2 linked regions of the Elephas maximus indicus genome follow. The protein of the gene in region 1 interacts with the protein of each later gene in a pairwise test. Links are inferred from orthologs where the notes say so. Each region holds a gene or a part of one and is shown on either strand. Other genes may lie near its edges.

Region 1 (7,832 bases):
GTTGATCTGTTAACAATAAACCCCAGTAGGACTGTCAGGCTCCTTTCATTGTCTGGGGTGATACATTTACATACTGCACCCGGTAAGAACAGATTCTTGGTCTCTCTTACAAAAGTTGAGTAACTAGAAACCTAATTTAGTGTCTCCCGTCCAAATTACTGAAAGAAGATGCAGTTGAACTAGTGAAGTCTCTTGTCTGGCTTGGGCAGCACAAACACTGTGCATAAAACACTTGGAGTAGTCCAGGCACAAGACAAACCCACCTGAATGGACGAGGAACACTGTCTGTTGCCATGGCAGCCTGATCTAATTACATGACTGATCAGGGCTGGCCTAAGTGCAGGAAAACCTACACCACTGACATGTATCTACATGATGAGAAAGACAGGCAGTCAGGAGGTTCAGGGGAGCCCTTCGACCTCTGCTTTAAGTGGAAGAGACTGGCATCCAAGGCCCTTCACTTCCGGAGCTGCTGAAACACTGACCGACGCATGCACACTTCCAGGGCAATCAGCGATGAAGCGGCACAGCATTCGCCGTCCTGGCGCAATCCCTTTCCGAGAGTTCATATGCAGGATTTCTCCTCCTTCTCTCTGGTAGTTTTCTCGGGTATAAACTTCATTCCCAAGAAGCACAAGTACCAAACTACCTTTACCCATCAAATAAACCAGAGGGTGGGATTAGCAGGGGCTTCTAGGAACTGCAGGTCTCCTCGGAAACCCAAATAGAAAAGGCTTAGCTCACCTTTGTGAAAAAAGTTAACTAGCATGACTAAAAATAACCATCAAGTAACTACCCACTGCTGTGTGCAACATGTTAACGATGATGTTTCAATATTAAGAACAGCCTGCATTACAAAACATGAATGTCATTGAGATGTGACTACTAGATTGCCGAAGGAGAACCTATTTGCATACACACATTCCCCTGCATGCACGACCGGATTTGCAAGGAATTGCCACTCTAAGGCATTAGTTTTTATTCTGTGGGTGTAATAGGGTCTTCTAATTTTGCTAATTGTATCCTGTGGATCTCACAAGGAAGCTAAGAATCTCTTCGGGGACAGAACCAGTTTGGAGGAGTCCCTACTGCACAGCATACGGTAAACAAAATAAAAATAGCTTGCCGTTCTTGTTAGCCACCTCGCGCATTATATAACCAGCTTCCGACTGGCTTTTTCCCCCCTTGCCATTACTACTCTTCAGCAATTCTCCAATCTTCCAAAGTATTTATATTACCCTCTTATCTGTAGGATTATATACCAAGAAAGCAAAACAAAACAGAGCAGCCACGGGTATGCACGAACCCCACCGTCCTTAGAAATTGTGATTTTTTTTTGTTTTCTGGCACAATCTCGATCACTACCCTACGCCCACCCCCCACTGAGGTTCTTGCTTAATCTCCCTAAAAAACCTGAATTGTTTCAACGCTTCCAGTCAGCCCCCTACGTGGTCTGAAATAAAATGAAAGCACAAGCCACGGAGTTTAGGAAGGCGGCCTGGGGGTGGGAGGGGGAGGGGGGCTGAGGAGGGGTCTGGGCGCTGTAGAGTCAGCCAAGTGGCCACCGAGGGCCCCCACCCCATGGCGACGTCCCTCCTTCCCCTCGGCGAGCGCGCGCATACACACACGCACACACTCACAACCCGCTCCGACACCGCCTCACCTCTCTCTCCGCCCGGCCGGCCCCTTCCCTGCCCTCTGCGGGACCCGCCTGCGCGCAGCACTGGAACCACGTAGGAGGCGGCGGCCGCCGCGGGAATGGCAGAGTCTCTGGCCCGGCCCGGCCTAGAGTGAACGAGCAGCGGGGCTCCGGGGCGCATCCCAAACGCCGCAGCACCTCCTCCTCCGCCTCCTCCTCCCCCTTCTCCTCCTCCCGGCTTCATTCACCCGCCCGGCAGCCGTGCAGCCGTTCACTCCCCGCGTAGGGCAGCGCCTGCCGGGGCTCCTCCGCTCCTGCCGCGGGCGCTGGCGGGGGCGCCGGCGGGCCCCAGGGTGCTCACGGGCTCCCGGCTCCAGGCAGCAGCGGCGGCTGCACATGATCAGGAAGCAGTGGCACTAACAGGGCGGCGGCAGCCAGGGCCGCCACCGCCAGCCGCACTCCCGGCACCCGCACAACCGCTCCCCGCCCGGTCCCTGCGGCCACCTCTCCGCGCCCCCCGTGCGCCCCCTCCCTGCGCCCGGACGTGCGCAAAGTCCTGATCCGGCTGCCAGCGCGGCCGCAGCCGAAAAACCGGCAAGGCCGGCCTCCGCCAGGAGACCCCAGCCCCGGAGAGCGGAGGCCAGACGGCCACCCGCGGGGAAGCCCAGTCCTCCCCGAGACCCACTCGCTCTCGCAGCCCCTTGCGGGGACGACGAGTGGGGAGGGGGCCGCGCGACCCCCCAGCGGCTACTGTCTCCCCCTGCGCCACCCCGAGGGAGGACATGGCTCTCTGCACTCGCGGCGGGACCAGCAGCCGCCGGTGCGGGGCGCCACCGCTGTCCCTACCCGCGCCCCCCGCCCGGGCGCGCCCCCTCGCCCGGCGGGCGCTCACCCTTCCCACCCGGGCCCGGCTGCCCTACTGCTGGCTCTTCACTGCGCCGAGAGTGGGGGTGTCGGCCCCCGGGAGGCTGGAGCCGGGAAAGGTTGTATGTACACGCACAACACAACACGACGCGTCGGTTTCCTTTGCTCCTCTTCCAGCTGTTCGCCGTGCCGCCGTTTGGGGTTTGGGGTTTGTTTGCTGGTTGTTGCTTTTGCCCACCTCGGGAGAGCGGGGCGGGAGGGGGGAGGATTTTAATCTAAATCAGGGGAGGAGATGGGGGAGGGGGGAGAGAAAGAATCAGAGGAGGAAAAAAAAAATAGCCACTTACTGTAAAGTGTAAAAGAATCTGGGGTTGCGTGGGGAAGGGGGGGCAGAGGGAGAGAAACAATGTCTTGAGGCTGCTGGTGCTCGGGCTGCTGCTCCACGGGGCTTGTTTTGGATCCCCCTGCAGTGAAACAGGTCCTGTACGGCTCCGCCACTGTAGTAGAAATGATGTCTGCGGTATACTCTGTTCTCTCCTCCTCCTCCTCCCGCTCCCCTCCCCTCCCTCCTCCCTCCTCTCGCCCGCCCGCCCTCCCTCCTCGCTCGCTCGCTCGCTCCAGTATGTAAATGTGTAATAGAAGCCAAATATGGAGCAGTTGGCTGCCGCCGCCGCAGCTCAAGGATCCTACTTCACGGGGGGAGGGGGGCGGGCACCCTTTGGCAGGCGGCCCGGAGAGCCGCACGGATCCCGGCGCGCGGACGGCGCGGCGACCCGCCCGCTCCCTTAACCCTTCGGTGCGCGCCCGCCCGGGGACCGCCGACCCCGGGTAGGCGGGCTCGCTTCCGCCGCGGGACCGGCCGCCACTTCCCATCCCGAAAGTGCGGCTGGCGCGGGAGGGCGACGCGCGGGCCGGAGGAGACGGTTCCTTCCAGGTTTGAGAAAGGGGCGAAGAGCTGAGGCGATGAGGTCATTTTAGCGGTGACCGGTCGGGCCTCGCGCGACTCCCCAGGTCCCAGCACCTAATTGGAGGGGAGAGAGCGACAGCGGGGTGCAACTCAGGCACCGTGGGGTACCCTCCGAGGGGTGTCAGGCTTCGGCTCGGCGATAACGAGATACCCAAGGGGGAGGGGAGGTTGGCCAGTTCTAATCCCGACGTGCCCTTCGTCCCGGGCACTAAGAGAAGGAAGCATCTAGGAGCGCGGACTGTGATAATCCTCCAGCTGGTTTAGCTTCGGCGTTCCGGAACCCAGACGCTGGGGCCGCGGGGACTGCCTTTGCCTGCAACTCGGGAAAGTTTGCAGGGTCTCCCCGAATGCACATGCACCCTCACCTTCACTGGCTGGGAAAGCTGGTGACCTCCCTGCGCTTCTTTCTCTTTCTGCGGGTCCGGAAATCTGCTTCGGATATTCAACTCCTCAGCTCTAGTCTTGATAGACGACCCGCACACTCCGCTCGCAGCTAATTCGGGATCATTAATTTAATCGGAAATGAGGTAACCAGTGTTGGAGATAGAGAAAGCAAACCGAGCATCAAATGGCAGCTCCCTTGAATCCACGCTGTAGTACTTCCTCTGGACTCAATTTTGAAGTGCGGTTCTCAGCTTCCCACTACCCGGTCCCCTCCGCATGTACCCCCTTCCAGGTGTTAGCTCGATGGGAAGGACTCTTCTTTGGAGCGGTGCACCTTGCCAACAGGTGTGGCACCTGGAGGAAGAGAAGGCACATCCTGCTCGAGAAGCTCAGTGCTGCGTTCTCCTCGCTGCATAGAATTCTGGAAGACCAGTAGGTGTCGAGCCAGCATTTGACCTCCTTCAGGTGCTTAGAACGAGTGTCTAGACACACGATGCCTCCACGTCAGTTTCTCTATGGAAGCCACCACTGTCGTGGCTGTATTTGATACAGTAAGCCGTATTGGAGAGGCCTTTTGGCTGGGTTTACTTATGACCTAACGGTTAGTCACCAACTGAAGCAGGATACAGAATTACCAGGAGAAATGTGTCAGCTTTTAAATAACAGTATTGTAGAGCCTATGTGCTTCAGAAATAAAAATAAGTATACTAAATAGGAAGGTGTCGAGCCCCGGAAATAATTTTTTTTCTCACATTTTGAAACTCTAAAAACATCTACATGGCTATTTAAATAGAGCTACTACTACTGTTCACTTTTACTCATTTCTACAACTTTCTTTTCCTTTTTTTTTTTTTTTTTTTCATTTAAAAATCAATGATGGCTACGGTTTAAACCTCGGGTTGGCTTAAAGTGACATAGTCGGTCTCATTACAGCCTCTAGTGGACAGTTAAAATCAGTTTCCTGCAAAAGCTCTCCTTGGTTTTGTTTTCACTGACAAGCTTCCTCAAGGTGAAGGCTAATATCACAGAACATAACCAGGTAATATCTTTTCCCATACTTGGCAAAGCCGACTTCTGAACCAAGCAGGGGCTTGCTGGCCTTGCACCAAGAAGACGTATGCCTTGTGCTGCAGGTATTATTATTATTGCTGGCCTGTGAATAAACAGAGAGCTTCTGTGATTCATTTCAGTTTCAGACAGCTTTCATAAAAACTAAATTCATCTAAAATATTTTTATAACAGAAAATATTGGTTGCCATGTTTTTGGCTTAACTGAGATGTTTTTATTCCAAGTCATACTCTGCAGACTGTCCAATCCACCTCCACTCTGTTTTTAGACATCTTACATTTAGAGAATTTGCAGTTAAAAAAAAAAAAAGCTAATATTTTCATTATTACATTGACATAAGCAGTTAGTTTCTGTTACGTTAACAGCTTTAAACAAATTAAAACATATAATTCAGATCAGAGCTAGTCAATGAATTTAAATGTTCCCCCAAGGAAGCTAAATATGTATATTACCCAAGCAGTAAAAACAATAAGAAATGTGTCATTTACTTTCTTAGCCATTAAGAGTAAAGCCATAAACTGTGACTAAAATCTGTAACTATTTCTTTAATGTCCAAAGTATACTCATCATACAGTTTTATTACCTTTCCTACTGAAATGTTTTCAGATGGTAAAAATATTAAAATATGTACCATTGCAAATCACAAAAGACAAAACAAAACCTGTTGCCGTGGAGTGGATTCTGACTCCTAGTGACTCTACAGGACAGGGTAGAACTGCCCCACGGGGTTTCCAAGGAACGCCTGGTGAATTCGAACTGCCAACTTTTTGGTTAGCAGCTGTAGCTCTTAACCACTAGGCCATCAGAGTTTCTGTCACATATAATAGGCTTATGCAAATAAAACCTCTTAGGAGCTGAATGAAAGAAGAGCAGGGTTTTCAAGAAGCCAGTAGGCAAATAGATAGTACTAGAGTTCACTATGGAAGTCCTGGTGGTCTAGTGGTTAACAGCTATGGCTGCAAATCAAAAGGTCAGCAGTTTGAACCCATCAGCTGCTCCTTGGTAAATCCTACAGGGCAGCTCTACCCCACCCTACAGGATTGCTATGAGTAGGAGTCAACTCAAAGGCAACGGTTTCATTTTTTTTTTTAAAATAAGCCTAGTCATAAACGTGAGATTATCTTGGTAGGAGCTAAGTCAACCTTTGAAATGAAAAGAAACAGAAATAAGGCCTGCTGAGCCTAACTGTGGAGCCCTGGTGGCACAGTGGTTAAGAGATCCGCTGCCAACCCAAAGGTTGGCAGTTCAAATCCACCAACCACTCCTTGGAAACCCTATGGGACAATTCTATTTTGTCTTATAGGGTCGCTATGAGTCGAGATCGACTCCAAGGCAACGGTTTGAGCCTAACTGCCTAAACTGTGTTCCAGAATGCGTAAATACCATGAACAAATAAATTCCTCAGATCTATTTCACTGCTTTGATAACATCACTTTTGACAGTTTAAAAAGGGCTATCAGGTGTATATTATATATATGGCCATCATTAATATCCTTGCTTCTTAAAATGTGGTCCCAGGAGCAGCAACAGCAGCATCTGGGAGCTTTATAGACATTCAGAATGGAGGGTTCCACCCAGACCTACTGAATCAAAAATCTGCATTTTAATAAGATCCCTGGGGAGGGTTCCTAAGCACTTTATACTGTGAGGAACACTGGTCTGTACTACAGGGCTAAGACAGGATGAATTTGGCTAAAGGTGCAGATCTTAATTCTTCTATATATTCCTTTTGTATTCCCTCCCCCTTTTATTAATTCGTGCATTTTACTTTAAAAATTATTACATGGTATGCTTTGGACAAAACATTTCAGAAGAGCCCTGATTTATGCACAAATCCGTATCATCATTGCCGAAACAGAGCACTCTGTTAAGGAATGTACTGAGGTCTCCAACGTGAACGTTTTCTTTGTGGCAGCAAGAGGGAGCACAAGAGTGGTTAACAGAACAAGTGTACGTCCTCCCAGTCACGGCAGTTTTTAATTGTAGTGTATGTTTTTATTGGGAGTAGCTTGCTATGTAGTTAAAAACAAAGCAAAACATGCAAACAAAAACGGCTTACCAGATTATAACAATATCATAATTGAACAGATTGGTGGGGTCTCTTCAGGTTTAACGGGATATAGACATTCTTATTTAGAGTTTTAGGCTTCAATTTTTAAAAGAAAGTGGATTTCAAAAGTCGTGCTGGTAATAGGGAACCCAAGATTGAGAAGGGAGAGTGTTGACACTCGTAGAGTTGTTAATGTCATAAAACAATATGTGTACTGTTTAATACGAAGCTAGTTTGTTCTGTAAACCTTCATCTAAAGTACAATCAAAAAATAAATTAAAAGAAAAAAAGTCATACTCTCAAAGCCACTTCTTAGGGTTTCCCTGGTCAAAAATAAAGATAACGCAGTGGCAACTCCAAGAGGAAATCCTGCTTATCTAAAAACGTTGGAGTAACTAGTTAACCCAACCCTACAGCATATAAATTAATTTCGTGTGGAGTCAGACATAATTGTTTAACGTATGTGTACTTTTCACAAAGTTTACTTTCACAATAACTTGAGGGGTTTATCCCTAATTAAGGCTTTCGGTGGTGAGGATTTATACTTCCATGGTATCTATGTAGCATGTCATATTCTTCACAGTCCTTTCATAGGGCATCCTCAAAAACTCCCAGGAGATAGATAGGATAGATGGTAAAGCCTCAGAAAAGTTGTTGAAATAGCTGATGCTTTCATAACATTCTGTTGTTTCAGTGTTACAATAATCTGCTGAGGCATTCAGAAATAAGGGAAATCTTAGAGGTTAAAGATCCAGCAGCATACTTTTCACAGTTTTAGAAGTTTTTCAAAGTTACTATATAGAGAATTAGGAGCCAGGGTGATGCAGTGGTTAAGAGCTCAGGCTGCTAACCAAAAGGT
Region 2 (7,562 bases), on another chromosome or scaffold:
CTGCCCCAGGTGGAAATGGAGTTAGGTGAATATAAGCCCCTGGGGAGGGGAGTGTGCACCCAAGTCCGCTCCTTGTCCTTCAGGAGCTTGTGTTTCTAATTCTGCACAGCCCTGTGGCCAGAAACGAGGATGGAGATAAATTTTGAAGGATTTGTCCAAGTTATTTCATTTCTCTTAGAATATGTCTCTAGGAGATCTTATTGGAAATGAATAGGTCCTTGGCTAGAATTTGGGCAAATCTCTGTTATTCTGGAATTTCGACTTATTCTTATGCCTCCACAGGTCAAATGACTCCCCAGGCATTCGATTCTCAATACCAGGTCTCCCAAATTGTTATTTCACGTTGACATTGATTTTTCCACCTGATGAAAGAATAAAAATGAAACCCAAAGGGAGCAGGCCAGGCTAGAACGTGGCACCACGTCCACCACAAGCGACAGCCCAAGCCTGTGGACCTTCCCTGTGGTGCATTATTCAATAAAACCTCAAGAGCTCAGTAATTACAGGCGCTTGCAAAAGTGAAACAGAAATAGATCGAGGACCAAAACACTGGTTTGCTTGAGACAAAGGATTGGTTTTATCAAGAAAAAGAAAAAAAGAAAGCTATTGGTTCTGTCTCTGAGCTGTGAAAGCCAGACCGATTTTTTGTAAATATGATTATTGAATCTGATTATGGGGACGAGAGTAGGGTTCAGATCAAAAGCCCTTTTCTCCTCTAGGATATAAAATTATTTTATGAGACAGAAAATAGGTTGCATTCTAGGTGTGCCTCCAACACCAAATTAGGATGAAAAATTAGCTTATTAAATCCACATAGCCTGCTCTCACTGCTGCGCTCTCAGCACCTCTATTCTCGATGAAGACAAACCAAAGGCACCGAACCAGAGGTTTCTGCGTGTTTGTCATAAAGCCTGCATAGCATTCCAGCTTCCCTGCAAACCCTAACTGGAGGGGCACTGGATACTTGGGAAATGTATCTGATACCCCAGCGCAGCCAAGCGGTTGACTCCTTCCTCAGAACACACCATGCCAGTGCTCCATTTTGAGAGCCTGGCACACAGATGAGGTCTGCTGCTCCCTTGGTTAAATGCTATTTGTTTTTTCAGACTGGGAAGGGTCCTGAATGGGAGAAGCCATGGAAATGAAGGAAAGGAATCACTGACTCCCTTCTGGCAGGAGGCAACAGAGGACAGCGCCCCTATCAGCTGCCTTCCTGGGTATGAGGGAACCTGGAGGTGGAATGGCAAGACTCTGGCTTGAGTTAACGTTGTAAGAGCTTGGTGCACATTCACTGCAGTTCAATTTTACCAGTAGCAGGTTTCAAAACTAAAGATGTAGGAATTTATATTTTAAAAACCAAGGTATGGGTCTAGGAGGCAGGGTCCCTCCCATCCAGCGTCTGGCGTCATGGGTAAGGTTGCAGGTTGTCCAACGCTGAGCCCAAGGCGGGACTCGCCATTCTGGCAAACGCCCTCCTCTAGGTGGAATCTGATGTTAGCTGGGAAGAAAGGGGGGTGGCATTCCGCATGACCAGGCCCGGGTTGGGAAGCACCGCCAGCCTGAGCTCCGTCTCTGCGGGGAGCGCCACTTTCACACCGTGGCTCTCAGGTTCCACGAGTTGCACACCCTGGGGACTAGCCACTTGTTGAACAAAAGGGCTACCGACTCCAGCAGCTGCCGCTGTCTTCCAGCCAGGAGAGGGACCCTAGCTCGTGCGCAGGAGCCTTTAGGGCTGGAGACGAGCCAGCGCTCGGCGCTGCGCGCTCCTGTAGACCCGCAGGGTGCGCCCGCCGGGGAGATGCGGCTAGGAGGCAGCGCACCCAGCAGCCTAAACTTTCTCGAATCTCTGTGCTTTGCGGTTAAGCTAGAGCCGTGAGAGATGCAAGAAACACAGCCAGAAAGGGAGAAAAAAAAAAGTAAGAGCCCCACCCACGATAAATGAGAGAGAAAGAGAGCTAATTCAATTAACATAGCACCTACTAAGTGCCAGGCACTGGGCCGAGAGCTACCGTTAGGGCGCTCTCTTTTAACTATCACGACAGCCCCCGAGGGAGGGAATGCCCTCATTTTAAAGAGCAGCAAACTGCGACTCAGGAAGGTGGCGTATCTGGCCCAGGTCGCAGTGCAGGTCACGGCGAGGTCAGGGTTCTAATCTGAGAGGAAATCGCCGCCCCACCGCCCCCACCTTTGGCCAGAGCGCACAGGCGGCCCACGTGTGCCGGGCGGACCTGCCGCCTGCGAGGCTAACCCGGGCTTCCCGCCGGGCCAGCGCTTCCCTCCTCTGCGACGCGGCTCTCCCCTGGGCTCCTGCGCTCCGCACTGCGCCGGCCGGCAGAGACCACAGAGCCCCTTGCGCGGGTCCAGGTCGCCCACGCCTACCCTGCCATTCCTCGCCCCGCGCACAGCTGCTCACACACGACCCCCGCCCGGCACCCACGAGCAACTGCGCCCTCACACACAATTCCACAAACGCAGCCGAAAATGTGCACACCCAGTTGCTCACACGGATCCCCACGAGGGCACGCCATTCCAGAAATACACCACCCGTCCGCGGTCATACACAACTGCACCCGCGCAGGGAAACAAGGCACCCCCCAACACACACATACACACACACACACACACGCACACACGCAGAGTCACGATTACAGACACACGCGGGCGCACACCGATCCACGCACCCGCAGTCCCCGCAGCCCCCCGCAGCCTGTCCCTCTCCTACCGAGTCCGACGCAGGACGCAGTCCGCGGCTTCCCAAGCCCAAGTTGCGGCGCGAGCAGCGGCTGGGGTGGACGCGGGCCGCTGCGCGGGGACAAGCGTGCCGAAGCCGGGAGGGGTGGCTAGGGGTGCGAGGCTCCGTGCTCCGGCAGCCGCCGCGCCGGCCCTGCGCTCATCGCCGCCCAGAAGGACAAAAGGAAGCCGGGCAGCGAGGGGAGGAAGCGAGGTGCCCGCGGGTCCGTCGCCTGCTGCCGCTGCTGCCGCCTGCCAGCCCCGGGAAGGAAGGGACGGGAAGGCGGGGGCCGGGGGCGGGGGCCGGGGGCGGGGCGCACGGCCGGGGGCGGGCGGTGAAGTTTCCAGCCGACTCGGCCACGCCCCTCTGCCGCCGCTCCGGCCACGCCCCCTCCCTAGCCCCGCCCCCTGCTGGACCTTGCCGTCCCATCTTCCATCCTTACCACCCTGTCCCGCGCTCCTCAGCCCCCTCACCACCCAGCCGAGGTCCTGCCCGGGTCCCCCTCCCTAGTGGATACGAGAATGGGACGGGGCAGGGGCGGAGCAGTGCACCGGTTCCGCCTCCCTAACCCTTCGCCTCTGGCCTACGAGTGTGGGAGAGGCCGAGAGGCGGTGCCCCAGACCGGACGGCCTTGCCCCGCGCCCCCGCCTTCTAGTCCTCTGCAGGAAGTGTGGCCCGGGTGGCCTAGGAAGGGGAAGAGGCGGGAGTCGCCCAAGCCACGGGGACCGCCTGCCAGGTCCCTCTTCTATTCTTCCCCACCCCGGTCCCGTGTGCTGATACCACCCAACTTTCCTGAGCCTCATTCTGGCAAAGATCCTGGGGCTGGGAAGAGGGAGACCTGGGTTCCAGCTATTGTTGCCTTTGGTAACTCCTTGTGCCATTTTTGCAAGTGCCTTGGACTCCCTCAGCCTTGGTTTCCCCACCTGTAAAGTGGACGGGGAGGACAGGCAGGCTTTCTGGGGTCCTTTCCTCACTGCCATTCAGTGGTTCTTCAGTTTCCCTGCCGGGAAAAGGACTTCCTTAGTTGGGCATCTTATTCCTGGGGACGGCTGGCCTCGTGAGCCTCCGGGAGGGGCGGCCTGGTTTCTCCTGCAGACTTCGCTCATCCCCTTGTCTATGGAACCCGCATGACAAGGCAGGACTGTGCTTCCCGGGATCCCTTACTGGAGCAGCTCCTGAAAATCTAGGGCTTAGAAGAGCACATATATACGCACCCCAGCACTACCACCATCGTCACCGCCGCGCGCCCCAAACATTACCAAAGAAAGGTAACCACAGAAACAGCCGTAAATGTGGAAATGGGCCTTCGTGTGAGGCTGAGACGAAACTGTCTTTCTGTGTCTCTAGGGTAAAACTCAAATCCTCCCCCACAAAAAACACTGTGAGTGAGCTCCCACTACACAGGAGGCTTGTGGAGGGAAAATGGGCAGAGCAGCTTTGACAAGGGACCTGACTGGAGGCTTCCAGTGAGGGTCAGGGCCTGAGCCCAGTCCCCCTCTCTCCTTTCTCTCTGTAAGCAGAATGGCAAAGCTAAATCTAGACGGAGGGAGTCTCCTAGTCAGGACTGCTAGGAGAATTGACTGAAATAATGACTGTAGGATGTGTTAGTACCGGGCTGTGGTGGTGTTATAAAGAGCCAGCTCCAGTACCTGGGGGCGCTGACTCCTTCCTTCTAAGCAGAGTCCAGTAGCCAAGGTCATTCCGTGGGCTTTCTGTAGCCTATCCATGCAAGCCCTCAGTCAGACCCCCAGACCCAGCCCCATCAGCCAGGTGACTGCAAGCAGAGGCTGCCGAGGCATTGTCTTAGTCAGGGTAGGCTATGCTGTGCTGTGGTAACACATAAGATCCCAGTTCTCACTCAGGTTACAATTCAGGTTGGAAGGGGCGGAGAGGACTCCACAGTCTCTCAGGAACCCAAGCATCTTCCATCTAATGCTTGCACCACATTTCTTCAGGGCCTCTGAGGCCTCCATTGGTTCTTCTCCTGGCCTGGTAACAAGAGCAGAGACGGCACGAGCACAGTCTGAGAGTGCTGTTCAGGAGCCAGCCCTGGGGGTGGCATACATCACTTCCACCTACATTCATTAACCAGCATTAGCTACGTGCTCCCAGCTGTATACAAAAGAAACAGAGTCTTCCTGTGTGTCCAGGAGAAAAAACAACGTCAGTTTCGTGAACACATAGCAATATCTCTGCTACAGAAACGGAGCCCACTTCTGCCAAGCCCAGTCTCAGGGGCAGCAGATATTCACACAGAGCGTGATAATCGCTATAATCAAGGCTTGGGTTACAACCACCAGGAAGGCTCGTAGTGGAGAGGGTCAGGAAAGCCTTCACAGAGGAGGCGACAGTTTAGCTGGACCTTGAAAGGTAAGTAGAAGTTCACCAGGCAGCATAGGAGGGGAAGGGCATGTTGACACAGGATTGAGGATGAAAAAGTTCAGAGAAAGCTTGAAAGCAGACTGTGGCATGTGCCCAAAACCCAACTTGCTTGTACCTCTGGGCCTTTGCCTGTGCTGGTCCTCCACCTAGCATGGCTCCGGCTCACATGTACCTCTGTCTTCTCTGAACTTCTAGAGAAGCACAGATAATCTAGACCTTCGTCCAGCACTGTATCCCATCTCTGTCAGATGAAGTACAAACTGATCTCTTTCTGTCTGTGTCCACTGCTCCTGCAGGACAAGGACTATATATACCCCTTAGGAGCTGCTAAGAGCCCTGGTGGTGCGGAGGTGAAAGTGCTTGGCTGCCCACCAAAAGGTTGGCAGTTTGAAGCCACCAGCCACTCTGTGGGAGAAAGATGTGGCAGCCTGCTTCCATAAAGATTTAGAGCTTGGGAAACCCTATGGGTCAGTTCTACTCTGTCCTATAGGGTCCCTAGGAGTCAGAATTGACTCCACAGCAGTAGTTTTGATGGGCTGCTAACCACAAGGTCAGAGGTTTGAACCCCAGCGGCTCTGCAGGAAAAAAGACCTGGTAATCTTCTCGCATAAACATTTCAGCCTGGGGAACCGTATGGGGCAGATCTACTCTGTCCAGTAGGGTCACTGTGAGTCAGAATTGACTCAACAGCGCACAACTACAACAACATATGAAGCTTAGTGGAGTGCATACAGTAGTGCTCACTAAATAATTTTTGAATTTAATAAACTAAGACAAATAAGAAACCTAAGTCAGGGGAGGGTGTCATGATACACATACAGTTTGTCCTCCACACTATGGCTGTCAGCACTAAGGGCAAACTCTGACTTCTTAATAATGACAGCATCTGACTATCTCCAACATTCTTGAGGTTATGTCCCCATTTCATGGATGAGAAAACCTTTTTAAAAAAACAAAGCCAAACCCATTGCTGTCGAGTTGACTCCGACTGATAGTGACCCTACAGGACAGTGTAGAACTGCCCCCATAGAGCTTTCAAGGAGCACCTGGTGGATTCGAACTGCCAACCTTTTGGTTAGCAGCCATAGCACTTAACCACTACACCACCAGGGTTTCCGGAAAACCCTTACAGAAGTGAGATATCCAAGGGCACAAAGTAGAATCAGTGATGTAAAAAAAAAGAAAAAAAAAAGTTGCTGTTGCGCCTACTGTGCCTCATAGCGACCTCATATGTGTCAGAGTAGAACTGCGCTCCATAAGGTTTTCAACGGACAATATCTCAGAGGTAGATGACTGGATATTTTTTCCTAGGTGCCTCTGGGTGGACTCAAACCTCCAACCTTTTTATCAGTTAGCATCCGAGCATGTCAACCATTTGCATGTTAACCCAGGGACTCCAGAAGCAGTGACCAACCAAACCAACCCCACCGCTGTCAAGTTGATTCCAACTCATAGCAACCCTATAGGGCAGAGTAGAACTGCCCCATAGAGTTTCCAAGGAGCGCCTGGTAGATTCAAATTGCTGACCTCTTGGTTAGCAGCCATGACACTTAACCACTACGCCACCAGGGTTTTCTGAATCAGTGACAGGCAGGTCTAAAGCCAGACTCAGTATGTGCTGGGTCCACACAGGCCCTGGAAGAAATACAATTAAAAAAAAAATTATTTGTAGCACTTGGATGTACTTGATTCCAAGTATCCTACTAGGGAGATGCTTTCAAATACATGTGCCCCTAGCTCACACGCTCCTGCTCCGAATGTTTGAGGAAGTGGGGGCCAGCTCGTTTCCATATCCTCCTTTGATTCTGTTACACTGGTTTTTGTTTTTTGTTATGACAGGGTGGAGAAACGTGGCTGCCAGGAATAAAATGGCGATGCTTACTTAGGCTAGTGGCTGCACCTAGGACCACCTGCCCTTCCCCTGACCTCAGAGCCCAGGCCCTGGAAGCTCCCACGCAGAGGAAATGGCCAGAGAACTCCCTGGCAGTGTCAAGAAACCAAAGAGGTGCCTGGATATTCAAAGGGGAAGGGGAGAGATTTACTGCCATCTGTCAGCCAGCAGAATCACTGGATCCTGCCTGGTGTTGGTAGATAGGCCAGAGGCAGGGAAATTGGATCATTAGGTCATCTTGCTTATGCTCCTCAGTGTTTGTGACTGCCGGTGTTCGTGACTGCGGCTGATACAGATACTGCAGCCCCATGGCTGGCCCAGGGAGCCTGCCTCAGAGGCGGGATCTGATGGCACCTCTCTCTCTCCTTCCCTTCCCTCCTGCTTGCAAGCTCCAGGGGTTAAAGATTAACTAGAACGCCCCCTATCCTGGGGCAACTGCCTTATATGTGTATGTTTTTCTTTTTCCCATCCACTGTCTGCCCTGCTGCCCCTCTGTAATCTCAAGGCTGGGGTCCCTGGGACCTTCTCCTCAGGACCAGGGGTCTAAGGACCTCATTT

What was found.
Region 2: the proteins of ATXN1 (region 1) and HPCAL1 interact in binary tests that used the Homo sapiens proteins (3 or more experiments, as listed by UniProt). The link is inferred for Elephas maximus indicus from reciprocal best matches to the Homo sapiens genes ATXN1 and HPCAL1.

The regions. Positions count from the first base shown.
Region 1 is NC_064819.1:62,016,185-62,024,016, forward strand, and holds the start of ATXN1 (ataxin-1), read right to left. Parts: upstream 3,046-7,832; 5' UTR 2,851-3,045; intron 1-2,850. UniProt on the Homo sapiens protein: Chromatin-binding factor that repress Notch signaling in the absence of Notch intracellular domain by acting as a CBF1 corepressor. Binds to the HEY promoter and might assist, along with NCOR2, RBPJ-mediated repression. Binds RNA in vitro.
Region 2 is NC_064830.1:19,874,105-19,881,666, reverse strand, and holds the start of HPCAL1 (hippocalcin-like protein 1), read right to left. Parts: upstream 3,008-7,562; 5' UTR 2,723-3,007; intron 1-2,722. UniProt on the Homo sapiens protein: May be involved in the calcium-dependent regulation of rhodopsin phosphorylation.